4 linked regions of the Saccharomyces cerevisiae S288C genome follow. Changing the gene in region 3 together with the main gene of any one other region gives a genetic interaction. Each region holds a gene or a part of one and is shown on either strand. Other genes may lie near its edges. The genes, in order: GPP2, DYN3, YPT7 and MMR1.

The links.
Region 1: mutations in YPT7 (region 3) and GPP2 together harm fitness more than expected from each alone (negative genetic interaction), as found in Saccharomyces cerevisiae (2 studies listed by BioGRID).
Region 2: mutations in YPT7 (region 3) and DYN3 together harm fitness more than expected from each alone (negative genetic interaction), as found in Saccharomyces cerevisiae (3 studies listed by BioGRID).
Region 4: mutations in YPT7 (region 3) and MMR1 together harm fitness more than expected from each alone (negative genetic interaction), as found in Saccharomyces cerevisiae (3 studies listed by BioGRID).

What each region holds. Positions count from the first base shown.
Region 1 is NC_001137.3:277,961-283,408, forward strand, and holds GPP2 (glycerol-1-phosphatase GPP2), read right to left. Parts: upstream 2,723-5,448; coding exon 1,970-2,722; downstream 1-1,969. Other genes in the region: FCY22 (purine-cytosine permease), read left to right, coding at 1-204; fatty acid synthase CEM1, read right to left, coding at 338-1,666; THO1 (Tho1p), read left to right, coding at 3,750-4,406; VHR2 (Vhr2p), read right to left, coding at 4,745-5,448. UniProt on the Saccharomyces cerevisiae protein: Glycerol-1-phosphate phosphohydrolase involved in glycerol biosynthesis. Plays a role in osmoadaptation.
Region 2 is NC_001145.3:863,912-870,017, reverse strand, and holds DYN3 (dynein light intermediate chain), read left to right. Parts: upstream 1-4,667; coding exon 4,668-5,606; downstream 5,607-6,106. Other genes in the region: ATP-binding cassette Fe/S cluster precursor transporter ATM1, read left to right, coding at 391-2,463; ADE4 (amidophosphoribosyltransferase), read left to right, coding at 2,927-4,459; sphingosine N-acyltransferase subunit LIP1, read right to left, coding at 5,747-6,106. UniProt on the Saccharomyces cerevisiae protein: Component of the cytoplasmic dynein which acts as a motor for the intracellular retrograde motility of vesicles and organelles along microtubules. May play an important role in the proper orientation of the mitotic spindle into the budding daughter cell yeast.
Region 3 is NC_001145.3:265,526-268,474, reverse strand, and holds YPT7 (Rab family GTPase YPT7), read right to left. Parts: upstream 1,302-2,949; coding exon 675-1,301; downstream 1-674. Other genes in the region: VRL1 (Vrl1p), read right to left, coding at 1,721-2,949. UniProt on the Saccharomyces cerevisiae protein: Ypt/Rab-type GTPases are key regulators of membrane trafficking and intracellular vesicular transport.
Region 4 is NC_001144.5:532,144-538,513, reverse strand, and holds MMR1 (Mmr1p), read right to left. Parts: upstream 3,301-6,370; coding exon 1,825-3,300; downstream 1-1,824. Other genes in the region: peroxin PEX13, read right to left, coding at 82-1,242; ATG26 (sterol 3-beta-glucosyltransferase), read left to right, coding at 4,121-6,370. UniProt on the Saccharomyces cerevisiae protein: Involved in the guiding of mitochondrial tubules to the bud tip during cell division.

The sequences.
Region 1 (5,448 bases), on a different chromosome or scaffold from region 3:
CCTATCGGTATCGCAGGTACTGCTGCCTTAATTGCTGGTGCCTTTGGAGTAGCGTTGGGTATGTGCCAAACTTATTGGGTTGGTGAGATCAGTCGTTTGATCGGAGAGTACGGCGGTGACATTGGGTTCGAGTTAGGCGGAAGTTGGGCGTTCATCATCTATAACATTGTAAGACCTTTAGAACTCAAATATTTCGGTCGATGACTAAATGTTAATTGATTAATATTTTTGCTAATCATTGAAATGATTGGTTTTAATGGATAAATCTCGACATTCGAATAGATAGCATATAATTCAAAAACGATTATAATGGGATATATATATAAGTTTAATAATATTAACTCCCTTCCCATTTCTTGAAGAGAAGAGATGTGTTAACTCCTCCAAATCCGAAGCTGTTGCATAATGCGTACTTCGGATTAGCTCCCACAATAGGTTTGTCTCTTATGAAATGTAGCTTATCGGCCTCGTTATTTTCTAGAGTCAGAACATTGTCCAGGTTTAAGGTATGCGGCATCTTATCATCCTTCAAGGAACAAATTGTAAATATACTTTCTACGGCGCCAGCTGCACCTAAAAGATGGCCAATTGCACCTTTGTTACTGGATATGTACAGTGGCTTGCTTTTGGATCTTCCTGGTAAGAGTGCTGAGGCTACTGCCAGACACTCTGCTTTATCGCCTAGTAAAGTTGATGTAGCATGTGCATTGACGTAGTCAACATCAGTTGGTTCTAATCTAGCCATTTTTAGAGCCATCTCTATTGCTCTTTTGGCACCATTTCCATCAGCAGGAGGGGAGGTAATATGGCAGGCATCACTGCTTAAACCATAGCCCACGAGCTCAGAAATTATGTTTGCATTTCTCTTTTGAGCATGTTCTAGCGATTCCATGACAATCATTCCGCATCCTTCACCAAGTACGAATCCAGAACGTTGTGTATCAAAGGGTCTAGAGATCCCGTTTGTAGTAATCGACTTTGCTCTGATGAAACCTGCTAAACTTAACGGATGCAAACTCGTTTCACTTGCACCGGCGACACAGATGTCTTGCATGCCTAACCGAATAAAATTGAATGCATCGCCAATGGAGTTATTACCTGTTGCGCATGCTGTGGAAACACTATGGGATAATCCTCTAAGGTTAAACTTGATGGAAACATTACCAGCTGCCATATTTGTAAGGATTTTAGGGACGAAATATGGATTTATTCTTTTATTGTCGTTATGGAATTGTAGAGAAGTTTGGTATATGTCTTGAATGGATCCTATACCAGAACCTATCAGGCAACCAAAGTGATCCAGATTGCACAGAGATGTATTGATGGTTATATCATTTGGGTTCAAGAGACCAGCATTGTGAAGCGCTTCATAAGTTGTACGTAGTGCTAGCTTGATAAAGCTTGAGGTTCTTCTCTCATCCTGGCTAGTGAACAGCAGTTTATTGATGGCTGAATTTTCGTTTTGAAAATTCTCTGGAATCTTCCCCACTGTTATCGTTGATGGGATACTTTTTTCTCTGAGTTTGTAGTCCTCATTATAGTTGGGCAAAGATGTGATTGGTGTGAGTCCATTTTTGGAAGAGAGCAGATTCCCCCATGACTCACTTAATGATCTTCCCAACGGCGTTACACAGCCCAATCCTGTGATAACCACTCTTCTTGACATTTCTTTACTAGAAATTAAATTTTAATCCGTTGTGGCTCCTGTCACTTTCAAGTTGCTAATAACCTGATAACGTTTAAGGATTTTACTTCCTTTTTTATCATTTATTTTTCTGAGATGAGACAGAGTCAGAAATAATAGCACACTATATGTTTTAAAAAAAAAAATCTATCTACGTATTTATTTAATCAATAAGATGTGATTTTATAAATGTGTCGTTTTTTAGCATCATTACTTGTTTTGTGGCGAATATAGAATAGGACTGTATCTGAGAATTATTACTCAAATATGTTCGATTTTAGAGGATTACCATTTCAACAGATCGTCCTTAGCATATAAGTAGTCGTCAAAAATGAATTCAACTTCGTCTGTTTCGGCATTGTAGCCGCCAACTCTGATGGATTCGTGGTTTTTGACAATGATGTCACAGCCTTTTTCCTTTAGGAAGTCCAAGTCGAAAGTAGTGGCAATACCAATGATCTTACAACCGGCGGCTTTTCCGGCGGCAATACCTGCTGGAGCGTCTTCAAATACTACTACCTTAGATTTGGAAGGGTCTTGCTCATTGATCGGATATCCTAAGCCATTCCTGCCCTTCAGATATGGTTCTGGATGAGGCTTACCCTGTTTGACATCATTAGCGGTAATGAAGTACTTTGGTCTCCTGATTCCCAGATGCTCGAACCATTTTTGTGCCATATCACGGGTACCGGAAGTTGCCACAGCCCATTTCTCTTTTGGTAGAGCGTTCAAAGCGTTGCACAGCTTAACTGCACCTGGGACTTCAATGGATTTTTCACCGTACTTGACCGGAATTTCAGCTTCTAATTTGTTAACATACTCTTCATTGGCAAAGTCTGGAGCGAACTTAGCAATGGCATCAAACGTTCTCCAACCATGCGAGACTTGGATAACGTGTTCAGCATCGAAATAAGGTTTGTCCTTACCGAAATCCCTCCAGAATGCAGCAATGGCTGGTTGAGAGATGATAATGGTACCGTCGACGTCGAACAAAGCGGCGTTAACTTTCAAAGATAGAGGTTTAGTAGTCAATCCCATTCCGAATATTGTTTTTATTGTTTTATGTTTTTCCACTGATCTGGTAAACACTAGCTGGTTGGCGCTATTAATATGAAAAGAGTTAGACCAAATTGAGTAGAAAAGAAACCTTTGGCAATCCTAACTATGTTGTTTTAGCTTGTGTATTTAAGCGCATATATATATATTTCTGAAAATGACAACATCAAAAGAAACGAACTTATTTAGAATAAAAAGAAACGACTTGGCTTCTTATTATTCCTACTTTACGTCACGTGGGAGGCCCGTTTAGGGGGGCAGCTATGTAGTTTTTCCGAGCGTACTTTCTTTCAGCATCCGAAAAGTCCTCACTTGACGGCTTACACGGAAACGCCGCGGATTGTGGGGCACAGATGATGACGCAGACGGAACACTGCAGAAATCTTTTTACCTTGTCGTTAAAGACGATATTAGAGAGAAGAGTTTGGCTGGGGACAAAGTGCCAGCTTTTCGTTCAGGGCGAGGTGCCAAAATACTTGAGAAGGCCAAACCCCAAAGGACAGGGCCAAATACGTACGCTACGGTAATATCTAATGGGAGAGGGTATAACATTGACCATTTTCGAAGGAGGCATAGGAATTTAGACGCTGATGGATGTTATCAATATTGAAGTTTTTCACCGTTTCCCTCTTTCTCTGCTCCTTTAAAGAACGCAAAGTCTCCTCTTGAGAGAAAGCAGACGATTGGAATTGGTATCTTTCACGTAGCATTGCTTAACCTACGGCCATATTAATGATATGAAGTCATATGAAAATGGCCGAGGCCAGCGGTTCATTCGAGGATATATATTTTATTACCCGGCGTCTCTAGCCGAAGTAAGAAAACACAATGCAACCAGCGTTGGTGGAAGGGCGTGATAATGCTGAATGGGAGAAGAAAGTTGAATAGTGACTCTTCAAATGTGTCCTTTCAGGATGCGCTACTTTCAGAAGTTACAAAGATATCTGTATATTGAATAGAATTTTTTTCACCACTAGAATTGTTCTTGGAGCCAGCACAAGCACTTACAATGGCAGATTATTCTTCCCTTACTGTTGTTCAATTGAAAGATTTACTGACCAAGAGAAATCTGTCTGTAGGCGGATTGAAGAATGAACTAGTTCAAAGACTGATAAAGGACGATGAAGAATCAAAGGGTGAAAGTGAAGTTTCTCCACAGGAACAAAACCAGGAACAAGGGTCAGAACCTGCGGCGATAGAAGAACCAGCCTCCCAGAACATTACTGAAAAAAAGGAAGTTTCAAGCGAGCCTAAAGAAACAAACGAACCCAAGGAGGAAAATAAGGACGTTCAAAAGCCCTCTGATGGACCTTCTGCTACTGCTTCAGAGAACGAACAAGCTGCTGCTTCCACTGCTGCTCCCGCTTTGTCACCAGAAGAAATTAAGGCCAAAGCATTGGATCTTTTAAATAAGAAACTGCACCGCGCTAACAAATTCGGTCAAGATCAAGCGGATATTGACTCTTTACAAAGACAGATAAATCGTGTGGAGAAGTTTGGTGTTGACTTGAATAGCAAGTTGGCTGAAGAACTGGGCCTTGTCAGTAGGAAAAATGAACCTGAAAGTGGCAATAACGGTAAATTTAAAAATAGAAACAAAAATGCAAACAACCGCTCCAGAGTAAGTAAAAACAGGAGAGGCAACCGCTCTGGTTACAGAAGATAAAGGCTCAAGCCGTTTTGGTGGAGTTTTTCATTCTAGTTTCGGTTCTTTCCCACTTTTTAAACGACCGCAGTTGTTTGTATATGAAGGTGCAAAATTTGTTGCATACGTAAACATGTGTAGATTATTCTAAATAAATCTGTGTTATTAAATCCGAAGAGTCGGCGGTTCACTGTATTACACATACAGTGGCTGTCAACGTTGTAAAGTGCTAGTAGAGAATGAGCGGCGAGATTTACAGACTGAACATTCTTGTACAAGTTACAATGATGATAGAGGAAAAATAAGCTATGATAAATAGTTCATAGTAATGCAGGTGGGGATGATGCAAGCGGGCCTATTTATTTTGAAATAGTACTGAATGGTTTGGAAAAGGTGGAATTTTCAATCTGCAACGATATCGCGCTCAACATCTTTAACCTGTCATCATCGTACGTATTTGGGACTTCAATTGAAGGCAATGTAATGATAGTGCTATCTGCCGATGTGCTTGACCTCGTCACTCGAGGCTCTTCTTTACCGGGAGTGCTTGCATCTTTCGTTGAAGAATGTGCACTCAAGACCTCAGATGTGGAGTGTGGCCTCATTGGATTGGACTGTTTATTACTACAAACCAAGGGATATTGATGGAGTGTCATGTGATAGATAATTTCGTTGATTGGTGCCAAAGATGCATCAAACCCATAATCTTTGACAAGAGATCCCAGTATGAGATTCAGCACTCTCACCTGAATTTTTTCTTGTGATAGGTCAGCGAATAGTTGACGTGTAGCGGGCATAAATAGCCTTTGCGATAGAATAGTCAAAAATTCGATTGATGACAGCCGTTCAGTAAGATATTGCTTAGTAGAAGACGGTAAATGTGAAAAGCTGTTTTCTACCACAAGGGAAATGGAAGCCATTAGTGAATTTTTGCCCAGCGTTTCTAGATTAGCAAAAGAATCCAAATTTCTTTCATCCTTAGACATCTCCAAGCACGTCCTTGAGTTATGTATCTTTGACAGGATGAGTTTTCTCAAGTTGTTGGATATTACAACTTTGCTTT
Region 2 (6,106 bases), 600 kb from region 3:
TATACTCATCTATATTCTTTTGAAAATGTATAAAAGTGACGATTGGAGATGGTGCAATTTTCTACGCAGCATGAAAAATATCTAAGGAAGGTAAGGTACATACCAAGTAAGTCTTATAATATGTTGTTGTACCTCACTTTACCATTCTTAAAGTCTTTAAAAGAAATTACCTTACCCAATTTGCACAGCAAAGGTCACTGACCTATACGTGCCCTTCATCAGATTACATCACGTGAAATTTCACTGGGAAAGAGCGCGAGGGCTTTCCGATGACTTTCTACATTAATAATCGCAAACAAAGCAATCAGCACAGCAAAGAGTACAATTTCGAAAATTGCGACAGAGCAACGTAAGTATATCGTTGTTGATAGATTCCACTCCAACCTGCAAATGCTGCTTCTTCCAAGATGTCCTGTAATTGGGCGAATTGTAAGATCAAAATTTAGATCTGGTCTAATCCGGAACCATTCGCCCGTTATATTTACTGTGTCTAAGTTATCAACCCAGCGGCCTCTGTTATTCAATTCAGCTGTGAATTTATGGAATCAAGCACAAAAGGATATTACGCACAAAAAATCCGTCGAGCAATTCTCGTCGGCTCCAAAAGTGAAGACTCAGGTAAAAAAGACCAGCAAGGCCCCAACCCTCTCGGAACTGAAAATCTTGAAAGATCTATTTCGCTATATTTGGCCCAAAGGCAACAATAAAGTGAGGATAAGGGTACTGATTGCCCTTGGACTGTTGATATCCGCCAAAATTTTAAATGTTCAAGTACCTTTTTTTTTCAAGCAAACTATTGATTCAATGAATATAGCATGGGATGATCCTACAGTCGCCCTTCCGGCAGCGATTGGATTAACCATTCTTTGCTATGGTGTTGCAAGGTTCGGCTCTGTTTTATTCGGCGAACTGAGGAACGCCGTATTTGCCAAAGTGGCACAGAATGCCATTAGAACTGTGTCGCTACAAACTTTCCAGCACCTTATGAAGTTAGATTTGGGATGGCACTTGAGTAGACAAACGGGTGGTCTGACGAGGGCCATGGATAGAGGTACAAAGGGTATATCTCAAGTGTTAACGGCCATGGTATTCCACATTATCCCTATAAGTTTTGAAATATCTGTCGTTTGTGGGATTTTGACGTATCAATTCGGTGCGTCATTTGCCGCAATAACATTCAGTACAATGCTTTTATACTCCATTTTCACTATAAAGACGACCGCATGGAGGACACATTTTAGAAGGGATGCTAACAAGGCCGATAACAAAGCTGCCAGTGTGGCTTTAGATTCTTTAATTAATTTTGAGGCGGTAAAATACTTCAACAATGAAAAATATCTTGCAGATAAGTATAATGGCTCCTTGATGAACTATCGTGACTCTCAAATTAAAGTATCGCAATCTCTAGCATTTTTGAACTCCGGCCAAAATCTAATTTTTACTACTGCCCTAACTGCAATGATGTATATGGGTTGCACCGGCGTTATTGGTGGCAACTTGACAGTTGGTGACTTGGTTCTAATTAATCAGTTGGTTTTTCAACTATCAGTACCGCTAAATTTTCTTGGTAGTGTTTACAGAGATTTAAAGCAGTCTCTGATTGATATGGAAACGCTATTTAAGTTAAGAAAAAATGAAGTCAAGATTAAAAATGCCGAACGTCCCTTAATGCTTCCAGAAAATGTTCCCTACGATATTACTTTTGAGAACGTCACGTTTGGATATCATCCCGATAGGAAAATTTTAAAGAATGCCAGCTTTACCATCCCAGCAGGCTGGAAAACCGCAATAGTTGGGTCTTCGGGCAGTGGGAAGTCCACCATTTTAAAATTAGTCTTTAGATTTTATGATCCTGAAAGCGGAAGGATCCTCATAAACGGTAGAGATATTAAAGAATATGACATCGATGCCTTGAGGAAGGTGATTGGTGTGGTACCACAGGACACACCACTTTTCAATGACACTATCTGGGAAAATGTAAAGTTCGGTCGTATTGACGCAACCGACGAGGAAGTGATAACTGTAGTTGAAAAAGCCCAGCTAGCACCCTTAATCAAGAAATTACCACAAGGTTTTGACACCATCGTCGGGGAGCGAGGGTTGATGATCAGCGGTGGTGAAAAGCAAAGGCTGGCAATTGCAAGGGTACTATTGAAGAATGCAAGGATCATGTTTTTTGACGAGGCCACAAGCGCCTTGGACACACACACAGAACAAGCTCTCTTACGAACCATTAGAGATAACTTTACTTCGGGTTCGAGAACGAGTGTATACATCGCACATAGACTGAGGACAATTGCAGATGCAGACAAGATCATAGTCCTTGACAACGGAAGAGTAAGAGAGGAAGGTAAGCATCTTGAACTGTTGGCTATGCCAGGGTCATTGTACCGCGAACTTTGGACCATACAAGAAGATCTGGATCATTTAGAGAATGAACTAAAAGACCAGCAAGAACTATGAACGCTCGTAAGTAAATATTGATTTATACATGTATAAGTTTTTCAAGATTTAAGGAAAAAAGAAAAGTTATTATCTTTCTCCGCGGTTTTTCAATGACCCGATGTATTGACTCTTCCTGACCGAAAATAACAGGACAGAGTTAGAACGAACATGAATAATAAAATATAATCTGGGATCATGAATCCGAATGACTGCTCATGCGGCAAATGTCAGAGCTTCGGTGTATTTAAAGTTTGCTTACTTACAATTTCAATAATAGGTTTGTACTTTTCAGATTCTTATTATTAAGTCAAGGTAAAGTCCTTCGTTTTTTTTTTTTTCATTTTAGAAAAATTTCAACAGCCACCGTACAATTTTATTCACTTTTAAGTCATAGTTGCGAAGACATCGTCTTGAAAGTAGTAGATTTCGTTCTAATAAGTTTAGCAAAGAAAGAGGTACAGCAAACAGCAGAATAGAAAAAATGTGTGGTATTTTAGGTATTGTATTAGCAAACCAAACCACTCCAGTAGCTCCGGAGTTATGTGATGGATGCATTTTTCTACAACATCGTGGACAAGATGCAGCTGGTATAGCTACCTGTGGTTCTCGTGGTAGAATCTACCAATGTAAAGGTAATGGTATGGCTCGTGACGTATTTACCCAACAACGTGTTTCCGGTCTTGCTGGTTCCATGGGTATTGCCCACTTGAGATATCCTACAGCCGGGTCTTCGGCTAATTCAGAAGCGCAACCATTTTACGTCAATAGTCCTTACGGTATTAACTTGGCACATAACGGTAACTTGGTGAATACTGCATCATTGAAGAGATATATGGATGAAGACGTTCATAGACATATTAACACGGACAGTGATTCGGAGTTACTATTGAATATTTTTGCTGCTGAACTGGAAAAACATAACAAGTACAGAGTTAACAATGAAGATGTTTTCCACGCGTTAGAAGGTGTTTACCGTTTATGCCGTGGCGGTTATGCTTGCGTTGGTTTACTTGCCGGTTTTGCATTATTTGGTTTCAGAGATCCAAATGGTATTAGGCCATTATTGTTCGGTGAAAGAGAAAATCCGGACGGCACTAAGGACTATATGTTAGCTTCAGAAAGTGTTGTTTTCAAAGCTCACAACTTTACTAAATATCGTGACTTAAAGCCTGGCGAGGCAGTTATCATCCCTAAGAACTGTAGCAAAGGTGAACCTGAGTTCAAACAAGTGGTTCCTATTAACTCTTATAGACCTGATTTATTTGAATACGTATATTTCGCCAGACCGGACAGTGTCTTGGATGGAATATCAGTTTATCACACAAGATTGGCTATGGGTTCTAAATTAGCGGAAAATATTCTAAAGCAACTGAAGCCAGAAGATATTGATGTTGTTATTCCCGTCCCAGATACTGCAAGAACATGTGCACTAGAATGTGCTAATGTGTTAGGGAAGCCTTATAGAGAGGGCTTTGTTAAAAACAGATACGTGGGCAGGACATTTATCATGCCAAACCAGAGGGAAAGGGTTTCTTCAGTAAGGAGGAAGCTTAACCCTATGGAGTCTGAATTTAAGGGTAAGAAGGTTCTGATAGTGGATGATTCTATTGTCAGAGGTACTACTTCAAAAGAGATTGTTAACATGGCCAAGGAATCCGGTGCAACAAAGGTTTACTTCGCTTCAGCTGCCCCAGCCATTCGTTACAACCATATTTATGGTATTGACTTAACAGACACAAAGAACTTGATTGCTTATAACAGAACCGATGAAGAAGTGGCGGAAGTAATCGGTTGTGAAAGAGTCATTTACCAATCATTGGAAGATTTGATTGATTGTTGTAAAACTGATAAAATAACCAAATTCGAAGATGGTGTATTTACCGGAAATTATGTCACTGGTGTTGAAGACGGTTATATTCAAGAATTGGAAGAAAAACGTGAATCGATCGCAAATAATTCATCAGATATGAAGGCTGAAGTCGATATCGGATTATATAATTGTGCAGATTATTGATAGATTGTTCCGAACTTGTTCAGTTGTATGTAAAATAGTTTCCAAATGCGCCCATTTATACATAATTATCTTTGTATTCTGACCTAAACTAAATATATATATATATATGCACGTATTAAAAAAAAAAATAAAAGCAAAAAGGTAAACAAAGAGAAGTAATCCGCAACTTGTACAAAAAGAAAAGAAGATAAAAGAATTGTATGTATTAATGGATAATTGTAATGCCTGGGACAAATTATTGTCTCAGAATGAATCCACAATCAACAGCACAGAGACTGCTACGATAACAGCAATCATATATTCCCCATCAAGTAAAACACTGCATCAATTTATAAATATCTGTTTTCCAGAGGGAAGCAATTCAATACTGGATACCACTTTGATTAATTACGCCACCATAGGATGGACCAACGACTTAAAGGAAAATTATTCTGTCGATGTTTACACGCTAATAAGAAACACTGACGATGCACTAGATCTTCTAAAGCCGTTTTTACAAGAACATAGTTCGAAGGTTCGCTGGCTCATATTATTAGATTGGACACTGAACGACCAAAAGTTGTGGCTGAATGAACTATCCTACGCATTCAATAAAATTAAGCAACTGAATGACGATAATGAATTTTCTGTATGGTGCTTAAACAGTGGCGAAATATTAAACTTACAAAGACACACTACAGTATGGCAGTCAGTACATATTGACTTCATTTTGCAAACGTTAAGATCGTTTTGCTATTTTAATGATAGCTCACTATTCTATATATGCGAAGACCATACCGAAGAGAAACGAGAGGAAGCACAAAGGCTTAAATACCAAGAGCTTCTAAAGCATTTTTGTGAAGATAGAGATATGAAAGATCATATTGAAATGGTCAAACGCAGTGAGATATTAATACCGAAGGGGTGCGATTCTATTGGATTGATAAAAACAGTAGACGAAAGATTTGAGCCTACTGAGGTGAAAGAGCAACACTTTTTGGCCCGATATATGGACTTTATACCAACAATTGATAAAATCAGAGAAGATAGGAAAACAACCTCTGGTATCGACCTTGATAAACTATATCCTTTAGAAGTTTTCAAAGTTAATATTCAAGAGGAATTAGGCAAAATGTTCGCAAAATATAGGGAAAATTCGAGGATTTAGGAAAGTGGGCAGGCGATACTTCTTTTATCATGAGCAATTTTTTTCTCTTTATATGTATAAATATAGATATGCACACGCATTTATAAATCCCTATATCAGGGTTGGATTTCTTCTATGTTTATGTATGTAAAAGAAAGAATTCACATGTGATAAATTGTGGAATCAGCACATAGTTCTTGAACCAGCTCAGAGTCTGTGTCGTACCCGACATAAGCTACGTAGCCAGGTTCACCTTTATCTTCGTGAATTGGGTAGTGGACGGGTGGAACATTATCATTCTCGATGATACAGAACGAGAGATGTTCATCATTTGGTTCATAATCTCTAGTGATTCTCTTTACTATAGTTTTATATTCGCCTCTTTTGTCACAACTTGGCCCACCACGTGCCCAAAGCTTGATTACTGAGCCAGACTGGGGTTCTTTGATTGGGGTACAATGGAACCATTCATAGTTAATTCTTGTACCATACTTGAAGTATTCAACCGCAGCGATCAGCAA
Region 3 (2,949 bases):
AAAAATCCTGATTTATATTCATTTTATTACTGTATTCCTTTTTTCAAGGCGGGAGAAACTTATACCGCCATAGTAAAATAAATAGTGACTAAGGTAGCCAGAACTTCTCATCAACAAATTGCGAAATTAATTTCTCTTAGAAAAGCCATTCATTGGAAAAATGAAATACCGTAAATTTTAATCATCCATTGCAAGATCTTTTATATACTCTGTGCAGTTTTTTCAACTCTAGCCAATTTATCCTGTCGTTGAAATCTAAATCTCTAAGAGCAATTTGAGATTTCGATATACATTCGGAGAAAAATTATTTTTACGCTGACGTTATATTTAAAGTTCGGAACGCATACACATTAAAAATCCTTTTTTCAAAAAACAACAAAAATATTTTAGTATTTTCAAATATTAAAAAAGAAAAATAAATATTTTGTTAGGTAGTCATGTGATTTTTTGTCACGTTTTGTTGAGTTATATTATCTCAAGTGTAGTAAATCGCTTTATTTAACAGTTGTGTTAATTAACTAAGGTTCATAGACAGATTGCACATGGTAATCGAAAGCCTCATATTGAAAGGGCCATCACATCCCTAAATATATTTAGTAGTTTTAAATTATTAATTTTTTTAAGGATACGCTATAAAGGATTACATAATAGAAGATACAATTAAGTAGTACAGCTCAACAGCTACAAGAATTATTTTCTCCATCTAGGCGAATATTGATGGCATCATTATAGTCATCTTCAAAGGCTTCTGTATCAGCTTGATTCTGTTGTAAAGCACTCCTTGCAATTTCTTCAAATGCGGTATCAACGTTTATGGCGTTTTTGGCACTTGTTAAAAACAAAGGAATATCGCCTAATGATTTAGCAAGCTCCTGAGCGGACTTTTCTGATACAATTTTTTTAGATTCTTCGGCATCAATTTTATTTCCCAGTATAACAAATGGAAATGTTTCTGGTGAGTTTACGTTCGCATGCACTAGAAATTCATCTCGCCAAGACTTAATATTCTCAAAGGAACTGGCATTGGTCACATCGTAGACCAAAACGCAACAATCTGCACCTCTATAGAAAGCAACACCCAGTGATTGGAAACGTTCCTGTCCAGCAGTATCCCAAACTTGCATGGTGGCAACTTTATCACCGTCAACTGTCACCTCTTTTGTTAAAAAGTCAGCCCCAATTGTTGCTTTATACTGTTGAGAATACTTATCATTGACATAACGGTGCATCAAGGAGGTCTTCCCAACACCAGAGTCACCTAGGATGATTACTTTCAAAATATTTTTTTTTCTAGAAGACATCACTTAATTTGAATTGATACAGAAGGGGTTTCTATATGGATAAGAAGTGGACTGGATGAGCTTATTCCTCTTATTTTGTTGGTGATTCCCAATGCTGTTCCTCTGTAACGACTGCTTTCAAGATAAAGGTACAGATTAACAAAAGGAACTTCTTCTCTCAGTAGGTCGAAATGCGAAAAGTTAATCCGCGAGATACAAACGTTACCCGTACCGGTGAGTTCTGAGGTTATTCCAATCACTGAAGAATCGTCAGCTATTACAGAGTAAAACAGCTGTCACTCTTTTCGAGTTACGGAGCTGCCCGTATATATATATATATGTAATGATGTTTCTTTCAAACTCTTTATCTCTTATTTTTGGGTAAAAAATTCTATAGAACAAGTGAGAAGAAGGTAAAATATTGCAATGCTCAGTCAATCTTAAACACATTCTTGAAGAACGCTAATGTTGGTTGTGGCAAATGCCACAAGACTACGCTGATCTAAGCACGCCTTCCTGAACTCCATATAATTGCTTAGTTCCTCGGCCAACCTTTCGTGAGCTACAAAAATTTCGCTTCCAAGTTCTTTGAGCATTTTTGAAGAGGCCTTTATCTGAACCGCTAGTCTTTGCTCCGATTGTTCACGCTTCGTTTCAATAAAACCACCAAGTGGAGCACGACTAGAGGTATCTGATGCACTTTTTGGCTTAACCATGTTAGGAAAAGCCTTCCGATAGCTTTTATGTAAAGCTAAAAACTCACCATAATGTTTCCACCAGTTCGGAATTTTTTCAAATAAAATTATCTGAACGAAACTAGATAGTTGGATAGTACATTGTTCCAAGAAACGCACGTTTTCTAGTAGTGCTGCTAGCGATAATTCACTGAACATATTATGATTTGTTATAATCCCCTTAAATGCGCTGGATGCTTCACTATTAATTAATTTTCTACCCATTTCGTTAAGACCCTTATAAGCATCCTCGAAATCATCGGATTTCAAATTAATAAATATTAAGACTTTCCTCAAAATATTCAAGCTTGCCTTAAATGATGAAATCTCATCAAAATTAAAACGTAAAAAGCTTTGTATCATATTAATCTCCTCGGGTTCCATTGTTTTTGGATTTTCTTTTCCTGAGGGTTTCTGGTTTCTTTTAGAAGTGTTTATGCGCATCCAATATAAGATAGAAGCCTCATCAGTGAACAAATTTTCTGGAATTTTTTTCAGGAATAAAAGAACGTTGAAGCAGTTAGTTAATTGGTGAAGTAACGATGTGACATCTGTTTTCCCGATTATTGTTAAATCAGAACGGTTTAAGTGCGATATTTCATCGATATAGGTATTTAATGGCAAAAAGGTGAACGGATTGTCTTTCAGAATTGAGCGTAGTAAGCCTTGAATTGTTTTCATGTTAATAACAGTAGTGGCGAAAGGTTTCTCTGCATTTGAAACGGATGTTATATTTGTTGTCGCATTTAAATTATGATATCGCAAAGAATGAAAATATATTAATCCAAAAAGTGAATCTTTGACACCCCTTTCTCCTATCTTGCTTAGTACCGAGTGATCTTTTGCATAATCAAAACAAGTGAAGAAGGTCGAGTTTTGAACCTTCTCTAATATAAGTCGACGGTCTTTCGTGATGGCGTCAATATTACTTAGTC
Region 4 (6,370 bases), on a different chromosome or scaffold from region 3:
GCTGATTCTCCCTGGAATATTTACATTACTTTAGATTTTACTATATATATATGCGAATATATGTGTGCAAATATTGATGCACTAGTGTGTACGCGTTTCATCATCAACATGCTCAATTTTCTTCCGTCTTTTTATGATCTCAATATAGTTATACGGAATGTAGCCAATATTGCCGTTCTTTGTCCTCACTTTCCACCAGTCAGAATCCCTCCCAAGAGGGTCTTTCTTACTCAAAATTGCCATCAAGTCGCCCTTTTTTAAAGCAACTTCCATCTCTGGGTTTTCTGGAACAAAATCATATAACGCTCTTGCAAATTCTAACTTCGAAGGATCAATAGGCTCGCTACCATTTCCTTGCGATGCTCGTATGGTTCCAGAGGTCTGTAGTTTAGTAATAAATTTGTTTAGTAGATATGGAAAACCAAATACTGCCATCAAAAAAAATAGTAGCGGTTTCCATGAAATTTTCCTTCTTGTGGCTTTCTCATTAGAATTTATGGTACCACTATCATTAAACTTTTGAAAATCTTCAATTAGTTTATTTTTGCTTCCTTCAGATTCTGCGAAATTCTTTGGTGGTATTCCTAGTCTCCCCTTAGTAGCACGATAGAGTATTTTTTTAAGAAACTTCATTATAGCAAAGATACCAAAAAATGAACCTAGCATTTCCTTCAAATTACCAAACTGTTCTGCGACGGATATCATGGTGAAAAACGAGTTGTGTGTGGCCATATAAGTAGATTCCAGCATTTGTGCAAATCCAGTAACAGCGCCTATCAAACTTTCTATTAACTGAAAGGTGGCCTTCGTCGACTCACCTAGTCCACTTCCATTATTCATTCCATATCCCGCTCCTGCACCGTACCCTCCTCCATAAAACGATCCATAATTGTTGCCATAGTACGATCCTCCATAGCCATACCTCCCTATGCTGTTTCCGTATATAGAGTTCATACTATACGGATTATTATCATAGGGTATCCCATAATTGCTATTACCGTATATTCCCGGTATTGTATTCGATTCGCCGTAGGTACCAGAGGAGTTAAGTGCCGCAGGCCGCGGCAAAACTTCGGGAGCAGACTCACTTGCACTATTACTGTTATTGCTTTCTTCAGTTGGCCTGGAATCCTGCTGATTCGAGGTCATCATCGCACTTAAAGACTGAGCATTACGCTGTGGCTCCTCTAACGAAGCACTGGTCTCCCAAGGTTTAGGTCGTGGTACTGCTGTGGATGACATCGCAGGTATTGTTATAGTATAGAATCCCCTTGATATTTATAGATAGTATATGCACTTTCGAAATTGTTGTTCATTTCCACATGCGTTTGCTCACCAACTATCTGATATAATTAATATTAGTCCGGCGGGCTTCGGAAATAAAAAAAATTTGGCCCGCTGAAAAAGGTGTCATTAATCAGATAAAAGAAGACTTTATTATATCATTTTTTTTGGTAATTAATGTATTTAAGTATAGGTTGAATAAACTTGAATGCAATATATAAATTATGTGTTTGTGATACCAGTCACACCGTGATTGGATTTTCTATTCAGCTTTTAAAAGCGGGGTATTTGCTTAGACGACACTATGAATAAATAGCTGCAGCATTCGACGTTGTAAGAAAAAAGATTAAATCACACGACAAGCCCTTTGAAGTTCAGTAATATTCAAATAAAAATTGTCCAATGAGAAGGATGGATAACGGAGAAATCACGCACATTGCAGATGCGTAACTCGATAGCCTACAATACAAAGCGCCTATCAGCATTGATGTATTGTGAATGTTTGTGTAAAATAAGTTAATTTAATTTGAAGTTGACGCTTCATTTTTCCTTCTTCTCCACTTGGACAGGAAGGTTAAGTTGGAAACCTCTTTTACTTTCCCCACTCTGCACAGATGCTGTTGTGGAAATAGCAGAAGTTGGCTCCTCTTCAAAAGCAACATTTAAATCTTCGCTAGTATTAGCATCCGTATCATCGTTTGTTAGATGATCTTCCTCGGACGAAGTTCCCGAAGAAGAATCTGGCTGTTCTTCAATTTTCTTTAGGTCTAAAACAGAAACGCGTGCCAGTCTAGTCTTAGGGCATGGGATTCTTGCTGAATTTCCTTCAGTTTTTGAAGTGGAGGTGGCCACTACTGCGGAGGATTCAGTCAATTTCTTAAGAACTTTTTTACAATTGAAGAATTTTTTCTCCAGTTGCTTGACTTTTCTCTCAATATCTCTTTGGGATCTTTGAGCCTGTATACTAGGATCCTTCATAACCTCAAGCATAAATCTTTCTTCAATGTATCTGTTCGTCGTCATGGAATGCACTAATTTTTCATTCTGCAACTTTAATTCTGTAATTTCAAGTTCTAGCTGCTTGATCTTTATGTCTAAATTCGATTTTTCACGACTATTTGCCTCCTCTGCATTGGCCATAGAGGCCATTTGCATTGAAATATGTTGTTGTCCGTCACACCATTCGGGCTCATAGTCCGTCGACGTAGACGAGATAAAGCTATATCTGTTGTTGTTGTTATTGCCTTTGAGACCATATTGAACGAACCCGTTATTATCCGTAGGTAAATTGTCTAGATTCAGATCCTTAGGCAATTCGTTCACTTCGGTGCTTAGACACTGAGTGGAGCCGCCGGAGACGACTCTAAGTCCTTTGTCCTCGACCTTTCGCACCCCATGATTTTCTGGATCTTCCAAAGGAGTAGCAGGAACAGGAACGTATGAGGGGAGCAACCCTTCGGCGTTTTTCCGTAATATCGGTTCTTCCGCACAGACTTTGGCCTCAAATGAAGGGGGATTGCGTTCTTTCTTTTGTACTTGCGCAACGGATTCTGAACTGCGCAGCTGCTCTAGTTTGTCCTTGATGCTTTGTTTAATGATGTTTTTCTCTATGTTCAATGGATCAGGGTTTGAATTCTGGCCTTCACTAGTAGTTTTCTTGCTATTCTTCAATAGGGCAGATAGCAATGGCAGATTACTGGTTGTTTGAGATAGGTACTCGGGTTTTAACATCTTTGGAGTGTTGTTCAAAAACTGAAACCTAATAGGCGATACAGACCTCATAGTGTCAGAGCCCCTTCTTTGTTTAGAACGTCCACCTCTTGATAACTCGCTCAATTTAGAGAGTGATGTTGGATATAACAAGGAATTACCAATCGGGCCAGTGTCTAATTTTAGCTTCGTAGGTGAGTTCAATAGATTTTGAAAAGAGCCTGCATTTCTTTGGTCATCCAAACAAAAGGACATTGGTGAGAGTTTTGGAGTAAGTTGTTCCGATTTCATTGTTGGAGAATTCATTTTTTTAGTTGTTTAGTTTATTAGTTGTGTTTTTTTTTTTTGATTTTGCAATGAGTACTGGCTTGTAACAAGTTAAAAGAAAAGAAGATTAGTTAAGAACAACGGAATTGAAACGAAAGTAAAATAGTTGGAACCGAGGATAACTATGTTGATTTAAAAGACTTCACACGCGATTCTTTTTCCTTACTGCTATTTAGGAAGATGTGCCCCTCCAAACCTTTCCTTTATTCCCAAGGCAATCAAAATAACAGAAAATACAGCAGTAATAAAGCTTAATTCTCTAGGCTCACTTAAACTGAGCAACAATTTGTTGATCGTACGTGTTATTTAATACTATCAGGAAAAAATAATCTAAATGTGAGAAAAACTTCTATCTGTAACCACTTTGTCTTGAATGAACGTAGAAAATTTAAAAACGATCAAGCTTGCGTGAGAGAACTTGTAAAGTAAGGAAATCTGATTTCTAAACCCATAATGATTCTTCATCGAGCTTTCTTGCCAATTGGCTAATTAGAACTCTTTTTAGTTTATTTCCCGAAAGGGGTATTTATATTTTGCCCGTTTGGGACAAAATTAACCCTGCTTACACCAGGGTTTATCTAGAAATAAAATAGGTCATTGTTTTGAGATGACTTGGAAAAACTTAACCCTGATGTGACTGTAACATAACATCTAAGAAAAAAGGGACTAAAAGTCAACAGAAGGAGTAGATCGGAAAGTCATTGCATTTATCACTGATAAAGTCATGGCTGTCAAAAAGTAAACATCAGAAGTTCAGTTGCACTTTATGCTTTGGTGAAAATCCGTATAACTTAAAAGAATGCCCATCACTCAAATCATATCAGCGTCTGATAGCGAGGCGGGGCCAAAACCAAGCATTTCGTTGGTACCTGATAAGCCATCTGAGCCAGAAACTTCCCCTAGGCATCATCGCCTTTCAAGGTCACTTTCGAAGTTCAAGCGCTGGAGAGGAAGATCAAATAGCAGTTTATCGATGGGGTCGTCTGAGCAGCAAGAACTGCAGGACAGTCCAAATGAAGCCCGTAGTGATGATGACGAAAACGGTTACAATAACGATAATGCAGATGACTTGGCGAAATCCAAGTATATGATGAAAAGTATTGCCGGTTTATTAACTACTGCTAGTGTGTATGCAGGGATGAATAATGCTCAAGAAATGAATGTGTTGTCGCAAGTTGATTCTGAAGAATCTGATTCCAGTGATAGTTTCCAGGAAAACATTGGTCGAAATGAGGTAAAAAGCAAAAAGGAAAATCTCAAAACTAAATCGCATCCGGAAGTACCAAGATTAGACAAAAGAAAGCCAACTTTATTCGACTTCTCAATAACTAGGGAAAAACTGTCAAAAGACAATGTGGCTAAGTTGAGACAGCGGTTTTGTTTAGACGAACAGGAACCATTTTTGAATGATTTCCCTGCATGGCTACTTAAAGATGTGTTGGTTCAAGGCCATATTTTTATTACAACAAAACATTTCCTATTCTTTGCATATTTACCTAAGAATCCTCGGTCGGTTAAAATGTCTGGAAACCTTAATATCAGGACAAAACTAATTAGGTCTACCAGGTATTGGTGCGTACTAAAGAATCATTTATTTTCTATGTATACCTCATCAACTGAGCTATACTTTCCGGTTTTAACCATAGATTTGAGGGAGGTCCAAAAAATTGAAACACAAAAACATACCTTAAACGGGAGTGCTACGAAAACATTTAAGCTTTACACAGATGAAAGTACATTCAAATTCAATGCAGATTCAGAGTTCTCCGCTAAATCGTGGGTGAACGCTTTGAAAAAGGAGCAGTTCGCAGCTCAGAATTCTGAAAACAATTCGATAAGTTTAAAAATTCCGCTGCCCAACATTATAGAGATAGATGATCAACCTATAGTCAACAAAGCTTTAACATTGAGATTAAGAGCTTTGGAGAGCTCACAGACCTATGCTATCGATGATTTCATGTTTGTTTTCATGGATGGGTCCGGTAGTCAGGTCAAAGAGAGCCTTGGCGAACAGTTGGCTATATTGCAGAAATCCGGTGTTAATACACTTTATTATGATATTCCAGCCAAGAAATCAAAATCAAGTTTTGGAAAAGAGACACCAGCTACAGTTGAGCAAAAGAATAACGGCGAGGATTCAAAATATTTGAATGTTCCAACTTCGGCTGTGCCTTCTTCGGAAAATGGGAAAAAGAGTCGATTCAGATTTAGAGAAAGAAGCAATAGTTGGTTTCGTAGAGCTAAACCTCTTGAAGATTCTCAAGTTGAGGATGTGGAGGAAATATATAAAGATGCGGCGAATGATATAGACTCTTCTGTGCATTCCACGATTCATATTCATGAACAAGAAGATAGTCAAGAGCAAACCGTAGCTTGGAAGCCAAGTCACCTCAAAAATTTTGCCGAAATGTGGGCTGCCAAACCAATACACTACCGGAACAAGTTTATCCCGTTTCAAAAGGATGATACCTATTTGATTAAAGAAACAGAAGAGGTTTCTGCTAACGAGCGGTTCAGGTACCATTTCAAGTTTAATAAAGAGAAGTCACTAATCAGTACTTACTACACATACCTGAATAGAAATGTTCCCGTTTATGGTAAGATTTACGTATCCAATGATACGGTGTGCTTCAGATCGTTATTACCAGGGTCTAATACATACATGGTTTTGCCATTGGTTGATGTGGAGACATGCTATAAAGAAAAGGGATTTCGATTTGGTTATTTTGTATTGGTTATAGTAATTCACGGTCACGAGGAGCTATTTTTTGAATTTAGCACTGAGGTCGCCAGGGATGATATTGAACGCATTCTTTTAAAGCTCTTAGATAACATATATGCAAGCAGTGCAGAAGGATCGAATATATCGAGTGCTTCTCTTGGCGATGTTCAGCATAACCCTGACTCAGCGAAGTTGAAGCTTTTCGAAGATAAAATTAATGCCGAGGGCTTTGAGGTACCGTTAATGATTGATGAGAATCCGCACTATAAAACAAGCATAAAACCAAACAAGAGTTATAAGTTTGGATTATTGACGATTGGCTCAAGA